2 linked regions of the Tamandua tetradactyla genome follow. The protein of the gene in region 1 purifies or fractionates together with the protein of each later gene. This does not show direct contact. Links are inferred from orthologs where the notes say so. Each region holds a gene or a part of one and is shown on either strand. Other genes may lie near its edges. The genes, in order: RMP64 and RPP25L.

Region 1 (8,299 bases):
CTCCCTGAAATGTTATTTCCTTTTGGCTGCCAAAACATTGGCAGTTTCCCTCTTCTTCCTGCTTGCCCTTCACTGCCACCAGTCCCTTTTCACTTCTCTATCACAGTGATATATATGCTCCTAGGTCCCTTTAAGATTGTAACCAGAAACTGATCATTTGTTTAGAGTGAAAGCTGGGTAGGGATTCTGAAGTAAGCTTGGTTCTGGTCCACTGGATGTTTGCAACTGAAATCTAGTGATCATTTTTTCCAAGCCCTGTTCTTGTTGAAAAAGCTGAGTTTGTATTTTCATCACTCAGTTCAGTACCTTTCATCTAAGTTGTGGAAGTGCTTCCTTCTACACTCTTTAGGAATTCCTGCTCCAGCCCCAGAATCAGGTATTAGATCCACCCTATCATTAAGAGATTGATAATTAGCCAGGGGCTACATAGGAAATTTAGAGCCTCCTAAGCTTATTTCTAACGTTCTAAACAAAAACATCTTCCCAGAAATCATTTCTCAAAGTATTGGGGAGGAATAAGGTTCTAAGGCAGACTCTTCATTCAGATCAAGCACATTACTAAACACTGTATAGTGTTTCCCTAAATTTTTAGCTCAGGGAACATTGAAAAATAATGGATTTGTTGATGGTGCACTTTAAGAGATTAACGGAATTCACTGTTATCATACTACAGTGGCATTCACACACTGAAGTTAAATGGATACATCCCGTATTTGGGGGTGGTGGAGAGAGAGAGAGAGAGAGATTGCAATTTAGAAATCAGACAATTTTCCCATCCTTAGGTTCAGAAGGCATATGCCCCAGAGTAGGGCTGCCAGATAAAATACAGGACACCAAGTTAATTTAGAATTTCAGACAATTAATTTTTTTAAGTATAAGAATGTCCCATGCAAATTCTGTTTATCTCACCATCCAGTATTTTTATCTGTTAGATCTGCCAACTCCACCTCCTAGAAAATACTAGAAGGGAAGAGAATCTGCCATTTATTCAGTCACTAACTGTGCTCACTGTTTTCCTAGAGTGAACATATTACCCCTATGAATATGATTGTTAAGTATATGCAACATTGTCCCTAAATCCAAGCCAAGTAACTACTACCTTGTGTTCAACTGAAGAAACCATGATCTATTTTAATGCTGGAGGGGAAAAATGTTTGTCTGAGTTGGACTTACCGTAAGAGATAGTATGTTGGTCTCTGATGTGGTACATTTCTTAAGTATTTTCACTATTTGACAAATATTAATTGAACATCTGAAATGTCTGAGGCACTTAGAATAGAGCAAGGAACTAAACAGTTAAAAATTCCTGTTCTCATGGAGCCTACATGCTCATGGGGGGAGATTTTTAAATACTAATTTTAATATCCTTTATTTTTATTCTAGAGTTGACTGAGTTAGATGGGATTCATGTATTATATTTGTCACATTTTAGTATACTGTCACTATTTGAATACATCTGTTTATTGCCCCGATGATATTTTCTTATATATCCCTGAGGCAGTTCTTGCCATGCCGGCATCTCACATAATATATTTAATGAGAATAGACAGCAATAAATATTGGTGCAAAGGAGAAAGATTTTAAGGACCATGACTCTTATAGCTGAAAACTTTTTGTTTCTGGGCATGTGTGTTCACATGTACGTGTGTTTTGTAGATAAATATGGGTGCACAGACGGGTCATTTGGAAATGCGGTGTACAGAGTAAAGAACAAAGAACAAAGTTTTTTTTTTTTTTTTTTTTTTTTTAAAATTTTATGAACAATATAGTCCCCAAAGCAAACATTTGAAAGGTTCCAGTAACCATTTCTTTGGCAGAGAAGATGCTTGGGGCTTAGTTCAGCAGCAGACACTGAAGCATGGCTTGGCCCTGTCCCTTGGGGTAACACTGAGGTGTTATGTTCCATTAGAGGCACTGGTACCTTTGCAGAAACTTGCCAAATCAGGCACAGACTTGCTGGCAGCCACATGAAGGGAACTTACTGATCCATGCCCAGCTCTTAGGAGGTACATGGCAAGAAAGAAGAAAGCAAAACAAGTTACCAAATCGCTATACACTTTATAAATTTGACGTGGAAATTTTGCCTCAATGCTGCCAAATAGTTATAATGATTCCATTTTCTCCAAGACCAATTCTTGGGCATTAAATCTTTAATGTTGAGAAAGTACATCTAATTATCTGATTATTAATTTTTGAAACTCAAATTATTAAGTTTTGAGTCTAGCCACTTCCAGGTTGAGATTCTGTAACTCTAAAATAAATTGAGGTTATGGCACTCTTATTCAAAACTATGCCTTCAGGTCACGAGACCTTATTCCACTTCAGAGACCAATCTTAAAATCATATGTATTTACTTTCCTATGAAATGTTTCTTTGATAATCTGAATCTCTTCTGCCAGAGATAAATCGAATTGTCTTCATTCTGTCTGAGGTTGTGGAACAGGAATTCTATCGGCTGGAGAGAATGTAGATTAAGTCTCTCTTCTTGGGTTCTAATGAAGTCAGAAAAGACAGATTTAGAGAGGATAATCAAGGCACAACCTCTGGCTGCCATCTGGTGGAAAAGGTGGGTAATGAACAAGTCATAAGTACCAGGGTTGTAGGTGTTGGATTTTTATTTTCTGAGCAAATGCAGTTAAGATGTCAGCATAAAGGCCTATGAGAAATAACTGCAGTTAAAGCTATTAGGTTACCTAAGATGGGAATCTAACAGTTAATATAGAAAAAAAATACATTAAGTGAGTGGAGTTTGTATGGTTGTTTCATAAAAGTCTGCTTTCTTGGCAACTGTGCTTAAATTTCCACCCATTTTTCAGATCTTAGGCAGTGGAGGGCATTGACATCAGAAACGCCAACAAGGAAATTGGAGCTGTGCCACGAATCACGCAGAATCCCTTCTGCTCTGTGTTTTAGCTGTAGGTGGCCTGCTGTCCCGTGGATGGGGAAAGGTTGCAATGTACTTTGCTCATTCTTCAGGGAAATGAAACTTGGAGACCATCTTGGCTCTGGATATAATTCTTATTTCTATTTGCTGTGAACCCATTTCTTCTCCAAATTGTCCCTTTTCCTCAAGTGTCATTTCAGCTATCTTGAGATACTTTCATGATTCTTGTAAGGTTACTTTCAAACAATTCTGAAAAGCAACAACCTGACATTTGACCCAGGAAAACTGTAATTCTCTGACAGCCCAGATCCTAAATTGAAATTCATGCATATAAATGCGATAAAAATCAAAGCCAAAATTCACTCCAGGAATTCAAATGAAACATACATTTCATTTAGACTTATACATTTTCAGAGTTTCTCAATGCAAGTGAGAAGCTGTTCCCTTGAGACTTTTGCACGAAAACTTCATTAAAAAAATACATACTTAATTTTCAAAAGCTCTAAAAATGCCTAAATTCTCAAAAATGTATAGCAATGTAGAAGCACACTTACTTTTTAAAAATAATATTCATTTTTAGAGCAGTTTTAAGTTTACAGAAAAACTGCCAAAAAGTACAGTTGTTCTAGTTTGCTAGCTGCCGGAATGCAACACACCAGAGACGGATTGGCTTTTAATAAAAGGGGATTTATTTTGTTGGTTCTTCAGAGGAAAGGCAGCTAACTTTCCACTGAGGTTCTTTCTTACGTGGAAGGCACAGGATGGTCTCTGCTGGTCTTCTCTCCAGGCCCCTGGGTTCCAACAACTTTCCCCGGGGTGATTTCTTTCTCCATCTCCAAGGGCCCGGGCTGAGCTGCAAGTGCTGAGATGAGGAATGCCAAGCTGCTAGACTGTGCTACATTGCGTTCTCTCATTTAAGCACAAGCCAATTAAGTTAAACGTCACTCATTGCAGCAGACACGCCTCCTAGCCGACTGCGGATGTAATTAGCAACAGATGAGATTCACCTACAATTGGCTCATGCCCACAGCAACAGAACTAGGTGCTTTCACCTGGCCAAGTTGACAACTGAATCTAACTACCACAACAGTATTCCCATAAACCCACCCCCAAACACATAATTTTCTATATTATTAACATCTTGCATTATTGTGGTACACTTGTTACAACGATGAACTGATACTGGTACATATTATTAACTAAAGTCCATGTTTTGGTTGCTAAAGCTGATGAAATGCAATAAACCAGAAATCAGTTGACTTTTACAATGGGGATTAATTAATTTACAATTTACAGCTCTTAGGCCATGAAAATGCCTACTCAAGGCATCAGTGGGACAATATCTGGACTTTGAAGACAGGCTGCCAGAATCCGGGACAGCTCTGTCACATAGGAAGGCACATGGGTGTCTATTGGTTCTTCTCTCCTGGGTTTTGTAGCTTTAAGTTCTGGCTTCAGGGACTTCTCTCTTTATCTGTGGGTCCTCTTTTAGCTTCTCTAGGACTTTTCTCTTTGAGCTTCTCTTAATTTCATCTCTTCTAGTTTCTGTCTCTCTCTTTTAAAGGACACCTGTGAGAGGATTAAGATCCACCTTGAATGAGGTGGGTCACACCTCAGTTGAAATAACCTAATCAAAAGGTTCTACCTACAATAGGTCTACAACCACAGGAATGGATTAAAAGAACATGACCTTTTCTTGGGGTACAAAACAGCTTCAAAGAACCACACCACAGTTTACATTAAAGGTATACAAGTGCACCTTTATGACAAGTGCATAATGCCATGTATCTACCATTATGATATCATACAGAATAGTTCCACTGCTATAATCATTCTTGTACTCTACCTATTCAGCTCTTCCCCACTCCCAGTGAACCTGAGGCAACCCACTGATCTTTTTGCTGTCTCTAGAATTTCACGTTTTCCTCTCTTACAGTTGGAGTTCTATGGTGTGTACCTTTTATAGACTAACTTCTTTCAATTAGCAATGTGTATTTAAGGTTTCCCCACTTTTTGTTTGTGTGTGTGTGTGTGTGTGTGTGTGTGGCTTGACGGCTCATTTCCTTTAACCATTGAATAATACTCCATTGTATGAGTGCACCCCATTTTATTTATCCATTCACCTATGGAAGTGCATCTTGGTTGCTTCCTGCATTTTTAATTAAAATCTATGACAGAATAGTTTTTAGAATCAAGGAAAATATTTGGAGACTAGTGTGGAAAACTAACACATTATGTTTAAGTGTATGACAGGTCTTTCAAATGACTTGTAGCGACAACTCGGGCTACTGTAATTGCCGAACTTAAAAAATACTTAATGCAAGACTAGTGCCAGACTCACATTGGAAGGCTTACATTACTCATTAGTTGACTTATTCTCTCAATGTTTATTCAACAAATACCTACTGAGAACCCATGTGCCAGCACTATGTAACATCCACATCACATGCATGAACTTACAGAATTGATCACAAATGTATCCAGAAGTAGGCATACCATGACTAGGGTTAAGAGAACTAGAGATAAAAATGAGATGGGAGTTTGGAGAGGAAACAGATTAGTTCCAGCTGTTTTGGGGTAGATGAACTGGGGAAAAGGGGATCTAACTAAAATTTAAAGGAAAAACAAGACTTGAACATAAAAATATTCTATTGGCACAAATTTGGATATTCCTTTCTAAGGAATTTTTCTTAGGATTTAAATAAGTTATAAGCAGCTAAGAAGGGCTATGGAAATTAATTCCCCCATGTGGGCATATTTTGAAATGTGAGAATTAAAAACATTTCAAAAACTATTAATTCTTTTTTTTTTTTTTTGCATGGGCAGGCACTGGGAATCGAACCTGGGTCTCTGGCATGGCAGGCGAGAGTTCTGCCTGCTAAGCCACCATGGCCTGCCCCGGAAACTATTAATTCTTGATTGACCTTTGTTCTTTACATATGGGAAGATTTCTGCCCTCTCCAAAATACTCTTTTCTCTCCTATCCCAAAGCAGTAAAACAAGAAAGGAGGAATAACCTTTTTTTTTTTTTCATTCTCTCTGTCCCTATCTTTTCCTTAAGTCACTTGGCTTATTCATTTGATTGGTATCTATCATGCGTCTCTTATATGCCAGGCACTTTGTTAGGTACTGAAAAGCAACAATTAACAAACACACATGATCATTTCTCTTTAAAAGGTTGTAGTTTAGTGGTGAAGACAGCTAATCAAACAATAAATTAAAAACTCTTAATGTTTAATAACAAAAGCAATATACCATAGTGATTGTGCTGGTTTGGAAGGGTTTGTGTACCCTAGAAAAGCCATGTTTTAAGCCTAATCAACCTTGTGGGAGCAATCATTTCTTCTAATTCCTATTTAGTACTATAAATTGGAAGCTTGATTGGGTTATCTCCACAGAGATGTGATTCACTTAAGTGTCTTCACCCATTCTATGTGGGTCTTTATTAATTATTGGAATCCAATAAAAGAGGAGACATTTTTGGAGAGAGTCCCTTTTTGGAGCCTCAAGAAACCCACAGCAGAGGCAAGTACAGCCATGAGGCCAAGAGAACCAGAGTCCATTAGCCAGCAACCTTTGGAGATGAAAAATGAGAATGCCCCAGCGGGGAGCTTCACAGGCAAGAAGCCAGGAGTGAAAGCTGGCAGACTGTGGCCATGTTTATCACATGGCCTCCCCAGTTGAGAGAGAAATGCTGAACTCATTGGCCCTTCTTGAGTGAAGGTAACCTCTTGATGGTTCCTTGGTTTGGACATCTTTATAGACTTGCTTTAATGTGGAGATTTTCATGGCCTTAGAACTGTAAATTTGTAACTTATTAAATTCCTCTTTTTAAAAGTCATTCCATTTCTGTTATATTGCATTCCAGGAGCTAGCAAACTAGAACTGATCAATAACTCGGCTGTGATATATGGCAGTATAGATTCAAGTCTGGGCTCTACTGAATATCAGTCTACTGAAAATCAAAAAACCATACTGTTTTGACCACTGTAGCTTCATAATATGCCTTAAATTCAGGTAGCATGAGACCTCTGACTTCATTTCTCTTTCTCAGGATACTTTTAGCTATTTGAGGCACCCTGCCCTTCCAGATAAATTTGGTTATTGGTTTTTCTATTTCTGAAAAGTATGTTTTTGAGATTTTAATTGGTATTGCAATGAATCTGTAAATCAATTTAGGTAGTAGAATTAACATCTTAACTATATTTAGGCTTCCAATCCATGAACACAGTATGCCCTTCCATTTATTTAGGTCTTCTGTGATTTCTTTTAACAATTTCTTGTAGTTTTCTTTATAAAGGTCTTTTGTCTCTTTAGTTAAATTTATTCCTAAATATTTTATTCTTTTGGTTGTAATTGTAAATGGAATTTTTTTTCTTGATTTCCCTCTCAGATCGTTCATTACTAGTGTATAGAAACACTACAGATTTTTGAGTGTTGATCTTGTAACCTGCCACTTTTCTGTACTCATTTATTAGCTCTAGTAGTTTTGCTGTGGATTTTTCAGTGTTTTCGATATATAGTATCATATCATCTGCAAACAGTGAAAGTTTTACTTCTTCCTTTCCAATTTTGATGCCTTGTATTTTTTTCTTGGCTAATTGCTCTGGCTAGAATTTCCAACACAATGTTGAATAACAGTGGTGATAGTGGACATCCTTGTCTTGTTCCTGATCTTAGGGGGAAGTTTTTGGTTTTTCTCCATTTAGGATGATGTTAGCTGTGGGTTTTGTATATATCCCTTTATCATGTTGAAGGAGTCCCCTCCTATTCTTATCCTTTGATGTGTTTTCAACAGGAAAGGATGTTGAATTTTGTCAAATGCCTTTTCTGCATCGATCAAGATGATCATGCAGTTTTTCTGCTTTGATTTGTTGATATGGTGTATTACATTAATTGATTTTCTTATGTTGAAACATCCTTGCATACCTGGGATGAATCCTACTTGGTCATGATGCATAATTCTTTTAATGTGTTGCTGGATTCAATTTGGTAGAATTTTGTTGAGGATTTTTGCATCTATATTCATTACAGAGATTGGTCTGTAGTTTTCTTTTTTTGTAATATCTTTGCCTGGTTTTGGTGTGAGGGTGATGTTGGCTTCATAGAATGAATTAGGTAGCTTTCCCTTCTCTTCAATTTTTTGAAGAGTTTGAGCAGGATTAGTACTAATTCTTTCTGGAATGTTTGGTGGAATTCACATGTGAAGCCATGGTCTTGGACTTTTCTTTTTGGGGAGCTTCTTAATGACTGATTCAGTTCTTTACTTGTGACTGGTTTGTTGAGGTCATCTATTTCTTCTCAAGTCAATGCTGGTTGTTCATGCCTTTCTAGAAAGTTGTCCATTTCATCTACATTGTCGAGTCTATTAGCAGAAAGCTGTTCACAGTATCCTCTCATTACTTCCTTTATTTC
Region 2 (8,287 bases), on another chromosome or scaffold:
TAGGGAGATGGAATTAGCTGATGTTCTGGAGAGGCTGGACCCTGTAGGTTTCAGGACTTTTCTGGTCCAGGGACCCATCTGGAGGTTGTAGGTTTCTGGAAAGTTACACCAGTGCATGGAACCCTTTTTGAAATCTTATATATTGCCCTAGGTGTTCTTTAGGATTGGCTGGAATGATCCTGGTTGGGGTTTGGCAGGTTATGATAGGTAGCAATGTCTAACTGAAGCTTGCGTAAGAGTAACATCCAGAGTATCCTCTCATCTCTATTTGAACTCTGTCTGCCACTGATACTTTATTAGTTACACTTCTTTTCCCACTTTTGGTCAGGATGGAATTGTTGATCCCACAGTGCCAGGGCCAGATTCATCCCTGGGAGTCATCTCCCACATTGACGGAGAGACTTTCACCCTTGGATGTCATGTCCCACATAGCGGGGAGGGCAATGATTTCATTTGCAGAGTTGGGCTTAGAGAGAGTAAGGCCACATCTGAGCAACAAAAGAGGTCCTCCACAAGTAACTCTTAGGCATACCTACAGGTAGGCTAAACTTTTCCACTACCTACATAAGCTTCACAAGAGTAAGCCTCAAGATCAAGGGCATGGCCTATTGATTTGGGTGTCCCTATAGTTTGACACGGTAGCAGGGGATTTCCTGCTGGTAAAGTTTAATAGTTGCATATTTTTGCTCACATTCCTCAAGGTACTTTGTCAATAGTTTTTGATGATCTGTTTAATATACTCTAGAATGTATCCAGGCATTACATTAAGCTATACAGGATTAAAGGACCTCTTTCTTATTCTGTGCTCCCTGTGTTTGACTTGTTCAAATGAGCTATACAGATAGGTTGAGTTAGATTATGTGCTACAGAAAATTTGGGTTCCAGACCAAATAAACCTTTCTTCCTTTGGTCTCAAAGAGTATTTGTGATTCTAAAATAAAAACACTTAATCCCAACCTGATTGGCTTCATTCTTATCTCTAAATATCAGGTTATTTATATCCAGTAAATTTATATCCAGTAAATATTTTTAAAAATATTTACTTGCTTCTTTGTATTGCCTTCTTTGATTCCCCTTTTCTTTCCTTATATCTATATTTAGTTATTTTCATAATGGTAAAATTGTCATTTCCATTAACTTCTTAACTAATAACCACCTAGTTTGACTAGTACTAACCTAGTCTCAGACATATATAAACTCTCTATTCCTATATATATTCATCGCTTCCCCTTTATATGTTATGCAGATTACATCTTTTTACACTGTGTGCCCATCAACCTAGATTTTAAATATTTTTTTTTACACATTTGACTGTTAAATCATATAGAGGAGGATAAAAGCACTTATAAACCAAAAGTACAATAATACAGGATTTTATATTAACCTAGGCAGTTACCTTAGGAATGTTCCTTATTTCTTCTTATGGCTTAGAGTTACTGTCTAGTGTCCTTTTATTTCAGACTGAAAGACTTCCTTTACAATTCTTGTAGGGCAGATCTTATGGTAATGAACACTTTTAGCTTTTGTTTATCTGTAAATGTCTTGATTTCTTCTTCATTTTTGAGGGATAATTTGCCGAATTTAGAGTTCTTAGTTGACAGTTTTTTTCTTTAAAGACTTTAAGTATGTCGTCTGGCCTCTATGGGTTCTTTTGTGGGGGATGGTGCATGGTCGAGAAATAGAACTCAGGTCTCCCACATGAAAGGCAAGCATTCTACCACCAAACCACCTGTGTACCCCCTCCATGGTTTCTGCTGAGAAATTCACTGTTTATCTTATTGGGGACCCCTTGTATGTGACAAGTTGCTTTTCTCTTGCTGCTTTTGAAATTCTCTTTTTGTCTTTGGATTTTGACAATTACACTGTAATTTTTCTTGGTGTAGAGCTCTTAAAGTTCATCCTGCTTGGAGTTTGTTGAGCTTCCTTGATGTGTATATTCATGTCTTTTATCAGATTTGGGAAGTTTTTGGCGATTATTTGTTCAAATACTTTTTCTGCCCCTTTCTCTCTCCCTTGTCCTTCTGACACTCTAAGGATGTATACGTTGGTATACTTGATATCACACAGATACCTCACGCTCTGTTCATTTTTCTTGATTATTTTTCCTTCCTGCTGTTCACACTGGACACTTTCAGTTGTCTTCTTTGCAAGTTTGCTGATCTTTTTTCTGCCTGTTCAAATCTGCTACTCAATCAGTCTACTGAGTTTTTCATTTCCATTACTGTACTTTGTAGCTCCAAAATTTGTTTGCTTCCTTTTTATAATTTTCATTTCTTTATTTTGTCAGACATTTTCATAATTTCCTTTAGTTCTTTGTATATGGATTCCTTTTATTCATTGAACATGTTTAAGACCGTTGATTTAAAGTCTGTGACTAGTCATTCTAATGTATGAGCTTCCTCATTATGGTTTCTTACAAATTTTTTTTCCTGTGAATGGGCCATACTTTCATCTTTCTTTGTAATTTTTATTGAGAACTAGACATGCTGAGAATTATGTTTTTTAACTCTAGAAATCTAGTTCTCCCACTCCTCTGTGATTGCTAGGTTTTTTGTTTGGTTTTGTTGTTGAGGGCTGGAACCATCAGTTTGTGACTTTTCCAAACTATTTTTGCTTCCAAATGAGGAATGGAAAAAGACAAGAGAAAAAAAAAAGATACTGCCTCTTTAAAAGCCCTCTGCTGCTTTTGCTTTGAGGAAGGATGGAACAATAGCTGTCTTCAAAGCCAGTTCCCCAGCAATCTGAAGTAGCTGATCCAAAGCAGTGAGCAGTGATCAAACCACCACCACCACCACCACCACCACCCCAGGCTTTGGAGGACTTAGTCCTTATATCCTTCATGGCACTATTAAGCTGCACCAGGAGCCTGGGCTTTAGTCCCCAGTACTGCCTGCCACATGATTGGGGGATGGGAGATAGTAGATACTGCATGGATGGTGAAAGTCACAGATATTTACCAGCTTCTTCCTCTGGCTGTTTCCTAAAATAATTGATTCAGATAGTTCCTGCCAGCTCAGTATTTGTTTTGGGCATGGGGGAGGCAGAGTGTTGGGAATGGTTATTGGTCTTTTTTACTACACCATCTTCGTATAATCCTCCCCATCCTTCTCTTCCCTTGGCAATTTGTTCCTTCATTCTGGGGTTAAGCATCACATTTTCTGGGCTGTATGGGGAGTGGGGGTCTCTGGTGAGCAGGAAGTAGGAGGTGGGGTTTTTGCCTAACTCCATTCTTTGCCCCTCCCTGGCCCCGCAGGACCAGTGTATGGAGATCACTGAGGAGTCCAAGGCTCTCCTGGAGGAATACAACAAGATTGTATCCTTTCTGCTCAACCAGGCCCCTAATGGGTTCTGTCCCCAAGCCCCATCCTTTTGTCCCACATCAATTCTCTCAGCCCTTCCCAACCAGCCTGTCTATTCCCCTGTTCCCCCACCCCACCCATTTTGGCTCACAAGAAGTCTCTCCAATCCCTCATTTAAATTCCTGTTCTTTTCACCTTGACTTGTGTGTGAACAGACAATGCTTCTCTCCAAGCAATTTGTGCAGTGGGATGAGTTGCTTTGCCAGCTAGAGGCTGCCAAGCAAGTGAAACCGGTGGAGGAATGATACTGCTCCCCATCCCAGGATGGCCAGGCTCCAAGGCCCTGTTCCAGCTGCCTCTGTAGCTGTGCAGAGGCAGCTTTCTATATTTATTGGACCTACAACCACCTGTTCACACTCAGGTGGGGCTCTGAGGCCAGAGATCAGGGGTTACCTGGGATTTGCAATTTGCACCACCCCCCAGTCAGTGCCCTCATTTCAGTGACAATAAACTATAAATACCAATGGGAGTGTGCTGGCTTTTGTTCTAGCATGGGGGTGGTGGAGCGCAGAGCTGACAACCAGCCTAGTGGTTGGACTGGGAACTACACTCATCTTGGTCTGTCTTTCAAGGAGGTGTGGAGCTCTCACAGTGGAGGCTCCCATTTGATTCTTATGAGTGGCACATTCTTTTATGCATCTATTTATCCTATGTCTAAGCACCAACTAAATGCCAGACCCCATACATGGTGGGAAGGAAGCAGGTAGAACCCATTTAGGGGAGAAGCCAGCCAAGGAAAAAAGCAGTCACACCAGATGGTCACAGGGTCGTTTGGTCCAAAAGAGGCTAATAGGGGAGGCAGGCCTGGTGGGTGATAGGCTATGATTTTGAGAGCCAAGGAAGCAGTATGTATAAAGGCAGAGAGGTGCCTTGAAGTTTCTTTCCTGGGAACCTACTTGGTGCTATTAGTTGAGAAGGGGAGCCCCAGAAGAGATGGAAGGTTTGGATATCGAGAGTTTTAGGTTCTGGGGAAAGGGAATTGGGAAGGAGATGGGGGAACGTGATGAGAAACAGCAGGGAGAGACTGAGCTCTGTACCAAACTCCAAAAAGTGTTTGCTGCCCCCTTGTGGTCTCAAAGAGTACTCTGGCTTCAGACCCCTTTCCAACTGCCTGCCTGCCACCCCACCTACGCGGGTTCATTAGCCTCAAATTCAGCCTGTCAAAACTGGTCTAAAACCTGAGAATCATCCTAGACTCTTCCTTCCTTCCTTCGTTTCTTCCTTCCTTCCTTCCTTCCTTCCTGTCTATCCAAACAGTCGCCAACTTTCTACTGAATACCTCTTCTGTATCTCCCAACCTAGTCTACTTCTCTTCATTTCCACTGCCATTTCTATTTCATTCATTCAACAAATCATTTAAAAAATAACGGAGCGTCTGGTTAGCCGCTGGCCACGGTAACAAGCTCCATGACACGGCCCCGGGACCCCGCGGCCAAAGGTTACCAGCGGTTGCGGCTCGATTTCCCCCACCAACCTCTTCTCTGTGGCTACAGTGAGCTGTGCACACGACCTGGTTCAACTGGCCCGTGTTGAAAACCCCTCCGTGGCTCGCCAGTTCCCACAGGATGAGGTTGAAATTCAGAACTCAGTAATCAAGTGTCTTGCCTGTGCAGCAGCAGCCACTTCCAACTAAACCTTTTGCTCCCTTTGCTATTGCCGTGTCCGTTAACTGCAGTTTTCCCATCTTCCAAAGGTTAATCCTCCCCATGCTTCAGACTCTGAACTCCTCTGAAGGCCGTCCCTTCTATCCACAAGGCTCTTTCCTCCTCACCGTCCCACCTGTGGGAGTGCCTCTGCCCAGGGCGTGGCAGCGGATACCTTGCGCCTGCACCCAGTCCCGGGCGTCCTAGCTCTGCTCAGTCTGGGTGTTCTGAATGGTTCTCAGTTGCCACTGCAGAGAGGCCGGGCGGGCCGCGTTGCCTCCGGCCCCGCCCCCGAGCGGCGTGCGCGGCCCCGCAATTTCGGCGCGCTCCCGGACCGCGCGCCATCTTAGCTCTGGACCCGGCGTGTGGGGCGCTGCGGCGCGGTGAGAGTTGGGACCTGGTGGGGTGGGGGGCGCCTGGACGTGGAGGTGGAGAGAAGGGAGGGCAGGCGGGTTTCTCAACGGCTGCGGCCCTCGGGGTACTGGGAGCGGCTTGGCGGCGAAGGACACTGTTGAGACCGGCCAGGCCACCGGTTGACGTCAAGAACACGCTAAGCAGCCGCCGGTGTCGAACCTCTGCTCCTTGAGTGACCTGAGCTGAGAGAGATCGACCCTGGGAATCTTGGGGTCGGGGATGTCCCGCCTTGTGCAGGGGAGCCCCGAGTGGAGAGGTCGGTTCTCTTCTTGGGGGGCCCTAGGTGAGGACTCTTGGCTCTGGCGTGCGGAGAGGGAACTTGACAAGGACGCGGGGGCCGGGCCCTGTGCCTAGGATCCCAGAATGAGGACACCAGTCCCAGGCTTAGGGAGCTTGGGATGTGGGTGCTTGATGCTATCTCAGGGGCTCCAGAATGGGGGCGGGGATGGGGACGGTATGGCTTTGTCCGGAGGAAAAGGGAACAGGAAGTATAGGGTACAGTCCATCCTAGAGTGAGGCAGACATGGTCCATGTCCTGAGATGCTGAGGATGAAGTAATATGGTCCTGTCTCCTGGAAGTCTAGGGTGAGGAGTAGGGCTGTGTCCTGGAGAGTCAGGGTGGGGGATGACCTGGGACACACTGCCTAGCACTCATATTTGATACTTCCCTGCAGTGTGCAGCAAGAGTCGCAGACGTGATCAAGCAGTATGGAGCACTACCGGAAAGCTGGCTCTGTGGAGCTCCCAGTGTCTTCCCCAATGCCTCAGCTACCTCCTGATACCTTGGAGATGCGGGTCCGAGATGGCAGCAAAATCCGCAACCTGCTGGGACTGGCACTGGGTCAGCTGGAAGGCGGCAGCACCCGGCATGTGGTGTTCTCAGGTTCTGGCCGAGCTGCAGGGAAGGCTGTCAGCTGCGCTGAGATTGTCAAGCGTCGGGTACCAGGCCTGCACCAGCTCACCAAGCTACTCTTCCTGCAGACTGAGGACAGTTGGGTCCCAGCCTCACCCAACACAGGCCTAGACCCCCTCACAGTGCGCCGCCACGTGCCTGCAGTGTGGGTACTGCTTAGCCGGGACCCTCTGGACCCCAATGAGTATGGCTACCAGCCCCCAGGGGCACCCCCTGGCCTGGGCTCCACACCCAGTTCCAGCTATGGCCCCCGACCCCGAAGAAGGGCTCGAGACACCCGATCCTGAGGACATGCTGAGCCAGGCTGTTTTCCAAGCCTCAGTTTCTGGGATGGCTGTGCCTTCTTCCAGAATCCTTTCCAGTTGCTCAACATCTCCAACAAGACTTGGATCCACAGAAGTGGCTTTGCTGTCCTTCCTCTGCCGCCTGAAATATGATAAGGGTTTGCTATAAAGAGTAACAGGTGTTAGGTCTGGATTCTGGATTACTTAAGAAGGGCCCATGCTGCTTTCCACCTATAGTGCCTCTGCTCTGCCTTTTGGACAGCGATCCAGGGAGTGAGTTAGGAAATAAAGGTTCTGCCCATTTGTCTGATGAGCCATTGCTCAGCCTGATGTGTGGAGGTGGAATTGGGGGAATGGATGCCCTTGCCTTCTGGGAGCTCATGGGCTGGAGACAGATATAATAGGCTCAGGCTTGTGTGGGGATGGTCTAGAATCTATGAGAAACTTAATAAGCCTGAATATATCTAGGCTTCTGGGTGACTGCCTGCCACCTGCTTTGGGTTGGTTTAGGGACTCTCCCTCAGGTCAGACACTTTTCTATCTGCGGACATATCTTATGGAACTTAGGCACCAGGCTGCTGGGATTTGAATCCTGGCTCAACCACTTAATTGTTTTGTGACCTTGGGCAAGTTACTGTTCTGAGCCTTAGTATTCTCTTCTGCAAAATGAGATTTAGTGCTTATCTCATAGAGTTTTTATTGTTTTTTTAAAAATGTTTTTGAGATATCTTCATATATGTACAATCCATCCAAAATATGTAGTGGGTTACAATATCATCACATAGTTGTGTATTCATCACGATGATCATTTTAAAAATATTTGCATCACAACAGAAAAAAAAATAAAAAGGAAAAGCCCATACATCCCATACCCCTTATCCCTCCCTCTCATTGACCACTAGTATTGCAATGTACCGCAATTTTTTTTTATCCCTTATACATCCCCCTCACATTTATTTTTTTGTCCCTTTTTTTTTTTACTCATCTCTCCATACTCTGGTAAAGGGAAGTGTCAACCACAAGGTTTTCACAATCACATAGTCACATTGTAAAAGCTATATAGTTGTACAGTCATCGAGAATCAAGGCTACTGGAACAGTAGTTCAACAGTTTCAGATATTTCCCCCCAGCCATTCCAATATACCACAGATTAAAAAGAGATATCTATATAACACATATGAATAGCCTCCAGGATAACCTCTTGACTCTGAAATCTCTCAGCCATTGAAATTTTATTTTGTCTCATTTCTCTCTTCCCCCTTTTGGTCAAGAAGGCTGTCTCAATTCCATGATACCGGGTTCTGGCTCATCTCCAGAAGTCATGTTCCATATTGCCAGTGAGATTTATACCTCTGGGAGCCTTTTCCAACAGAGGGGAGAGGGCAGTGATTTCACCTACTGAGTTGGCTTAGAGAGAGAGGGGCCACATCTGAGCAACAAAAGAGTTCTTGGCGGGTGACTTTTAGTTCTAATTATAAGTAGGCTTAGCTTCTTTGGAGGAATAAATTCCATAAGGGCATGCCCCAAGATGAAGGGCTTGGCCTGTTAATAGTCCCCACTGCTTGCAAGAATATCAGCAATTCTCCAGATAGGGAAGTTTAATATTTCCTCCTTTCTCCCCAGTTCCCTAAGGGGGCTTTGCAAATACTTTTTAATTCTCTGCCCAAATTACTC

Evidence for each region.
Region 2: the proteins of RMP64 (region 1) and RPP25L purify together in Homo sapiens (affinity purification with mass spectrometry; 3 studies listed by BioGRID and IntAct, with this or other methods). This does not show direct contact. The link is inferred for Tamandua tetradactyla from reciprocal best matches to the Homo sapiens genes RMP64 and RPP25L.

What each region holds. Positions count from the first base shown.
Region 1 is NC_135336.1:33,773,762-33,782,060, forward strand, and holds the start of RMP64 (nucleolus and neural progenitor protein), read left to right. Parts: upstream 1-4,709; 5' UTR 4,710-4,830; coding exon of another isoform or gene 4,831-4,833; intron 4,834-8,299. UniProt on the Homo sapiens protein: May play a role in cortex development as part of the Notch signaling pathway. Downstream of Notch may repress the expression of proneural genes and inhibit neuronal differentiation thereby maintaining neural progenitors.
Region 2 is NC_135328.1:61,313,263-61,321,549, forward strand, and holds RPP25L (ribonuclease P protein subunit p25-like protein), read left to right. Parts: upstream 1-5,312; 5' UTR 5,313-5,385; intron 5,386-5,399; exon of another isoform or gene 5,400-5,699; intron 5,700-6,090; 5' UTR 6,091-6,124; coding exon 6,125-6,616; 3' UTR 6,617-6,926; downstream 6,927-8,287. Other genes in the region: DCTN3 (dynactin subunit 3), read left to right, coding at 3,254-3,313, 3,515-3,604. UniProt on the Homo sapiens protein: May be a component of ribonuclease P or MRP.